Nothobranchius furzeri: one gene and its partner. The protein of the gene in region 2 purifies or fractionates together with the protein of the main gene of each other region. This does not show direct contact. Links are inferred from orthologs where the notes say so. Each region holds a gene or a part of one and is shown on either strand. Other genes may lie near its edges.

Region 1 (4,023 bases), on a different chromosome or scaffold from region 2:
TATGGATGAATGATTCACTATAGTGGAAAGCACTTTGGAGTCCACTGACTCAGAAAAGCGCTTTACAAGTGTGGATCATTTATCATAAAAGTAGTCAAAAACAGGTTAAAGCCACTCCTACTTGGAAAAGGTTAATATTTGCATAAAAGCACATTAAAATGTAAGCATAACGAACACCAAAGAACTGGAAGAGTGATTTGAGTTATTCTGGGACTGTTTCACACCCTGATGAAGCAGCCGTGTAGTTTCAGTACTGGTGTCCAACTCCGTTCTGTTTAAGGGAACTTTACTGGTGACTTTAACACATTCCATTTTGTACGTTATTGATTTTACAATTTTGTGCGTGTTGGTAAGCTGTCCAAGTAACTAAAACTGAATCATTTTTAGAAATTCTGCTCCGAGATGTTTCTAATACAATTTTAACACAGCTTATCTTGTATACATAGTAATATTTTGTTCTTCCATGTGCAAATTTTTATGGTAATTGTTCGTTAAATACATAATATATTAAAATGTCCACCAGAATAGAATTGGTAAAGGACTAAACTGAAAAGAGGAAAGGAAAAGCTGGTCCAACACATTTCACATCTGGTGCAAACTTTAACATTGACCGAATAAAAAAATAAAAGTTCTACAATACCTCTAGAGCAAGAGCTGTTTTGTCATAGGCACATGGCACTCGTTTCTGGATAGCCTTTGCCACAACAGGACCATTCGGCATGGAGGGAAGTGGATTGATGACTGCTCCGGGTGTGCCGGGAGGCAGCGGGGATGACGTCTGAGGTTGGGCGTAGGCGTTAACAAGGGTGTGAGAGGGCTCAGGTATCCCGTAACTGTTGGAGTTGCGAGATCCGTGTGTGGGCTGGCCAGGGTGGGGTGGTCGTACCAATTTCTCAACGTAGGGCACAGGGATCATACCGACACGTCCGTCTCTATTTTTGGCACTCCACCACTGTTCCTCAGGCTTCTCCAGGATGATGAGGAGCTCACCCTTTTTGAATGGAAGGTCCTCCGCGTCGCTCCCAGTGAAGTCGTATAGTGTCCGCACATACTCCAGGTTCTCCTCTAAGCCAATCATAGGCTGAATGGGACTGCTGATGGTACTTTGATACCTTGGGAAGAGAAACATCAATCACTTTACTGATGCAACTCTGTTGTCAAAGCAAAACTGAAACAAACAAAAAAACTAAATTATGGGCATTATGTACCCTTAAAACTTAGGAAATAAACCTAAAAACTAGTGTATAATTGTTTAACTGGGATCTATGTGTGCTTTCCACAGACGTGGTTTAATCACAATAGTTTAAAATACATGACAACTACAAAAAACAACAATTTAAAGGGGAAAATTAAGTAAAGGCATTAGTATACATCCAAATAAGCCAAACCCAGTATCCACATCTTGTTTATTAACCACGTCTCCACAGGCTTTAAATGTGTAAACCAGATGTGCAAAACTCGAACTGTGCAAACTATGCTACAACCGGTTATAATAAAATATCTAAGAGAGTAGTTCGTGGTCACAGGAGGGATTTTTACCTGGGAGCAGGTTCTATTAGCGTAGTCGTGTCCAGGTAGTGGATTTTGTAGAACTCCAGGAGAGCTGGGAGGTGTTCAAACTCTTGGTCGCCTATCTTAAACCTCTTGCTGGGCAAAGAATTGATTATATAGTGAGAAACCTTGGAGTTCTCCGACACTGACAGCACATAGTCGCCTGGGCAGGTGGAGGAATCTCGAACTAGAAACATGCCATGCCTCTGTCCCTGTAACCTGTTCTGTGCTTCCTGTCGTGACACGGGTCCAAAATACCAGGCCGAGCGGTCGGATGACTCAAACCGAGCAGTTGACATTTCTGTTCAAATATAAGTTAATAGAAATTTAAAAAAAAACACGTGAAAGTGGGAGTTCAAGCAATCGTACTCTCACAGCAAACCGTTGGTTTTGGAAGATGCAGGGCAGGGCATGCGCCACCCTGGAACGGTTTCCAGTAATTTCTGCACAAACGCTGCAGGCTCTGTCGACCTGAATAAATAAGAAAAATCAAAATAAATCTGAAGTTTTCAGGAATAGGGAGCGAGTGACTTGATCCAACTTTGGAGCATAATGCGCTTCCTCTGGCTCAGCAGTCCGAAGCTGAAGAATTGTTGAAGGAGCCAAAACGAAGAGAATGATTAACTGACAGAAAACAAACACCGTCGGAGACCCAAGCTGCAAACGATCAAAGAGGCTTCCTTCTTTTCGTTCCGCCTTCCGAGAAAACACCAAGCTTTTCTACAAATTGTGTATCTCTTTCAGACAGTGTCAGTTATGAGAACGGAAAAGGTGGCCTCAGTTTTTCATCCGATGAATCCCCATGTCAGCAAAAGGTTGACAGCAGCCGCTGGTAGGTAACAAGTAAATAACTCAAATCCCTTTCACGGCGAGGCACGCGTCAAATAAAGAGCTTTCCGAGTTCCTTCTCTGAGTCGAAGCAGAGTTTTGAGGCAACACAGCAAGAAAAATGGCGGCCCCGCAACACGTCTTCACCCGAGAAACAAATTCAATGCAGCGGTGTGTCTGCCGCGTGAGCATCCCAGGACTTGGACTCGCACTCCGGAGCTCCCGCGTGCATTCCTGACGGCTCACGAAGTATCCAGACTCGGACAGTCTACGTTTTGTACTTTCCTTTCTTTTCCCAAGCAAGTCCTCCTCTTTCTCAAGCCAACCAAAGTGCGAGCTTTAGACCCAAAAAAATGGCGACGGGAGGGCAGGTCCCGCTTTCTAGCTGCACGTCACCGACTACCAGAGAAGGGGAAGGGGCGGAGGAAGGGGGGGCTGGTGACGAACACACGAAGCGGTCCCCACCCCCACGTCAGGATCTCGCGGCCACTCAAAAAAACACTGAACACAGAATAAAAGATTGGTCTTAAAACTAAAACACGTGACTTTTCTGAAATTTACAATGTAAAAATCTGATTTTAAGAGATTTAACCCTTTATAGAGTCATCATTGAAATTTCAACCACTGTTCCAGTAAAAGAAATGCCCAAAAAAAAACAAGTAAGACAATGTGTAGTTTTTAATCATTAATCTCTGGAAATATCTATCAAAACATTTTTGAAAATGCATAAAATGATGCAGTCGTTGAAAAATATTGGTGGCTTCATAACATGTAACCATAAAAATGGCAGTGTTTCCCCTATTTTTCCAGCTGTGGCGGTGTGGCCGGTGTCGGTAAAAGATCTGCTCGGGTGCAAGATCGGCTCGGGGTCCGTCGACTGCCGATCACGTCAAAGTAGTTGATTGGCTGAACATGAACCTTACGGAATTATGTAATCACGTTACGTTATTGGTCCAGGCAAATCTTTCTGTTGGAAAGATGGACAACTTTTACAAAGAAATCCATCATTACCTCTTTGAAAATACACTTTTAGCATAGAGCTGCATGTATATTAGGGCTGAACAATTAACTGCATGCGCAATTAAATTGCGATGAGACAAAAGGAGATTTTCTAATCGCAGACTGCAATTTGGCAGCGAGTGGTTAGCGCAATGCTGATATACGTGGAAAAACCAATTGAAATGCTAATGCTAATATCACAATTACATTTTTACAAATTATGAATTAGAAACGTGTCAAATGATTACATTTGGAGTCTAATAGAAAGTAAAACTACCATCAATCAAATAAGTACAGACTGGTATTTCAGTAAAGCCATAAAACTTTTAACTCCAGAGTTTCCGCTATCAGTTATGAGCGTAACTGAACTACGCATGCACAAGGCGTCAAAAACTAAACACAAAATACTTCAATAAATGGGACACACTTCTTTCCATGTATGTCTGATCTCTGAATTGTGTGTACTGAAACTCAATTTCGTGGGGGGGGGGGGGGGGGTGCTTGGGGAGAAATTATGACACATCTCTAAATAAAGTAAAATTTTCTAGTGCAGAGTGGAAACAACCCATAGGAGCACTGATTTGATCTCATTTCAGAGAAAAATAGAACAGGTTAGATCACATGTGTCAGAGTCAAGGCCCGCGG
Region 2 (3,500 bases):
GTTGGTTCTGTTTGGCTAAAGGTCAAAGGTGACAGATCATCTGCTGCTGTGGCCCCAGACTCTGGACCTCTCTCCCTCTGAGCCTGAGATCAGTGGACTCAGTGGTCTCCTTTAAACTCACCTGTTCAGGCTTTTGTATGACCTCCATCACCTCCCTCACCTTGTTCTGCTCTCCCTACCTATTCCACCTTCCTCAGGATCCACTGATTTCCCTCTTTCCTGTTCACTCTCTCTCTCTTTCTTAACATTTTTTAAATCATAATTGTCTATTTTTGCTCATTTTAAATATATTTTTAAAATTTTCTAAATTATTTTTTATATTTTTACATTTATTGCTTTTGCGAAGCGCCTCGTGGTTTTTATCTCGAGAGGCGCTATAGAAACGATATTTTCTTCTTCTTCCGTTTGTGCGGATTCAGCCAGGATTCTGATCCAGGTCCGAGTCTCCAGAACCACCGAGCTGGATTTCAGCTTTGGCCTTCCCGGTCTGGTACCGTCGTTTGTCTGGGTCAGAGGTTCGGGTGCGTTCGTGGGCCGAGGAAACCGTTTCTATGCGTGTTTACTCTGATTGGGCGACGTGTTTGAATGTCGGCTGGTTCACAAACCCGCTGATCAGATCTGTTTGGTGATGAAGCCGAGTCGTAGAACTCCTCCTCGTCATCGCTGCTCTTCACCACTCGGTCGCTGACTGCAGCAAAACAAGACTTAATGTAAAAAAAAATCCAAAACATCAAATCTTGGTTGTGAAGGTTTAAATCTCCAGTTTTATTTGATGAAGCTGACGCTTAGATGTATGTCTGTACAGGAAGACGGACTGTTTGCCATCCTGCTACAGGAGCCCAGAAGGGACAAATAAAACTTTAGTTGTCGGTTTGAAGTAGAAGAATCCAGTCTGAGCCTGAGGACGTAGAAACGTTCTTCAACCTTTGAACGCGATAAAAACTCATCGGCGTGACGACGAGGACACGCCCAGTCGCCTCCTCCTGGCTTCAGACACGTCTGCTGTTACCGGTGACCTTTGCCCTCAGATATCTGATTCACTGGTTACAATGTTTGCGTGTTTGAAACCAGTGAGAACCTGTGAACAGCGTCAGCCCATTTCCTTGGATCTGTGTGGTCCCTGAACTCACCACGACGTCACACTCAGCTCAGCTCAGGGGGGAGGGGAGGTTTCAGGCTGAAGATGGTTTTAGATGGAGATGCACTGATTCTGCTTTTTAAAGCCGATACCGATTTCTGATTCTTGACCTGCTGCTCCAGATTTCCCTCTAAGACGTGAACGGTATGCAACTTTTAAAGTTTCTGATTGAACCTGATTGGATCCAGGCCTCCTCCTTACCTCAGTCATCCCTCGGCGTGGTTCTCCATCAGGAGGAGGAACAGAAGAAGAACGTTGGCTCTAAATAAAGCCTCCAGCAGACTGACGGGAAGCTGCCCGTGGTTTGGTTTGGGTGCTTCTGCGTTGATGCCAGCTGGGCGCAGATATTCTGGTCGTTGTTGTTTGGTGTCAGTGTGTTCAGGAGGACAGAAGGCATGTCTGCTCCCGCTGCTGGCTTAACCTCCTCAGCGAGGGTCTGGATGTTCTTCTGCATCAGGATAATTGTTTATCTTCGTCAAACACAGACCCTGCAGGCTTGTTCTCACGTGAGGGAGGACGGGTCAGAGCCGCGGCCTTTATGACCCTCAGAATAAAATACGATCAAATGAAGGAACCAAGTTCACAAAGGAGTTTCCAAAACATCTCCGAACTTTCGCCGGGGTTCTCGCGGGGCCTCACCCTCCGTCTGTGTTTACGCCGGTATCTCACAAGCCTGATTGTTCAGTCTGTCCCTGAACTCACCACGGTTATTTCCCATGACCAGATTCAGGTTTTATCATAAGGTGAGTTCTGTAAACTCCAGTTCCCTCAGATGAGTCAGAATGGGTGGGTTAGGAGGTCCAGGGCGGCCGGGCCCACCAACGGTACCAGAAACAAACCCACGGCTCTCCTGGAGCTGTAAAGGCTTTGTGTTCTGATCAGAGATTATAATCTGATTTAATCCTGCAGAGTTTCTTCTTCCTGTTTGTTTTCTTCTCATTCCGACCCAGACGGATCCAGAACCTGGAACTGCCAGGTTCTGGATCAGGCAACGTGCCCTTGAGCAAGTCACGCACATCTTAATTGCACCTAATGGGGCGTGCACGGCTGGAAGTGCACGGCCGCTCTACGAAGGTTGAAAACAAGCATTCGTGCCCGTTTCCTCCCTCCTGCTGATGCGTTTAACGAGCTAATCGGTCCTAAATGCCGCGGCGCTGGGGGCTCGTTACCCATGAGCCCTCACCAGACCTTCCCAAAACCCTGAGAAGATCCTGTCAAGTTCAGGTTCAAGCGCAGCTGAAGGTCGCGAGGTCGTGTGACTGCACGGCCTTTAGCAGCTGCTGGGGGCGGGGCTATGATGCCCTACGGGGTCATGATGGGAAATGTTCACCAGCTTTATTTGTAATCACCAGATTTAAACATGGATGAAAGCTGTGGTGTGTGTTTGAACCGTTCGGCGCGTCTAACAACAGTTTTGTTTCTGTGGCTGCAGAACCTGATGGCCAAGGCGTTGTACGACAACGTTCCAGAGTCTCCCGAGGAGCTGGCGTTCCGGAAGGGGGACATCCTAACCGTCATCGAGCAGAACACCGGCGGCCTGGAGGGCTGGTGGCTGTGCTCCCTGCGCGGCTGTCAGGGCATCGCTCCCGGGAACCGCCTGAAGCTGCTGATCGGACCCATGTTCGAGGCCCAGTCGTCGGGCGCCGCCGCCCAGGCTCCTGCTCCGAGCCTCCAGCAGCAGGGCCTCTACCAGGTCCCACCGAGGAGCACGCTCAGCGCTGAGAGCGCACCCAGCAAGGTGAGAGCTGCTCCCTTTATCGGCTAATCTGGCAGTTAGCTTTCTGGTGAATCCAGAGGAGGAATTACCCAGCAGCTTATGGGGTTTATTCTGATGAGATTAACGGAAAAGCTCGTCATTAGAAGCAGCTGCAGAGGTAGGATGGAACATGAGCAACCGGTCCAAGACCCTGGCCCGGTCCAGGTCCAGGTCTCCTAAATCTTCTGGTCTCCATCACTTTTCCAATGAGCAGCTGAACTTCTGCCTGCAGGAACGGGTCATGTTCAGACGGTCTAACCGGGCCGGTGAGACCCGGTTAGCTGCTGTTAGCTCGTCCTCATCCTGCTGCTGCACCGCTCAGCAGACCTTCAGGACAGCAAGCTCTCACCTCTTTCCAGCCTTCAGCTGAAGCTCAGGATTCCTGAAAGTTTAAGCTCTCCTCCTCCTCCTCCTCCTCCTGCTCCTCCTGCTCCTCCCCCCCTCCTCCTCTGGCAGGTCTGTGGGAACACGAGGAGAAAACTTTCCCGGTTATTCATCCGTGTAACTTCTCCAGACGTGATCGGATTAGAATTAGAACCTGAAGAGGTTTTTAGTTGAATCAATCCGGTTGTTGCCGGAATGATCTCAGGTGTGTTTCAGCACCTG

Evidence for each region. Proteins that work in one complex are often made in the same cells at the same time.
Region 1: the proteins of nedd9 (region 2) and crkl purify together in Homo sapiens (affinity purification with western blotting; 4 studies listed by BioGRID). This does not show direct contact. The link is inferred for Nothobranchius furzeri from reciprocal best matches to the Homo sapiens genes NEDD9 and CRKL.

Annotation. Positions count from the first base shown.
Region 1 is NC_091746.1:46,875,078-46,879,100, forward strand, and holds the start of crkl (crk-like protein), read right to left. Parts: upstream 2,801-4,023; 5' UTR 1,851-2,800; coding exon 1,540-1,850; intron 1,113-1,539; coding exon 641-1,112; intron 1-640. UniProt on the Homo sapiens protein: May mediate the transduction of intracellular signals.
Region 2 is NC_091759.1:25,485,569-25,489,068, forward strand, and holds part of nedd9 (enhancer of filamentation 1), read left to right. Parts: exon of another isoform or gene 1-2,563; intron 2,564-2,570; coding exon 2,571-2,876; intron 2,877-3,500. UniProt on the Homo sapiens protein: Scaffolding protein which plays a central coordinating role for tyrosine-kinase-based signaling related to cell adhesion. As a focal adhesion protein, plays a role in embryonic fibroblast migration.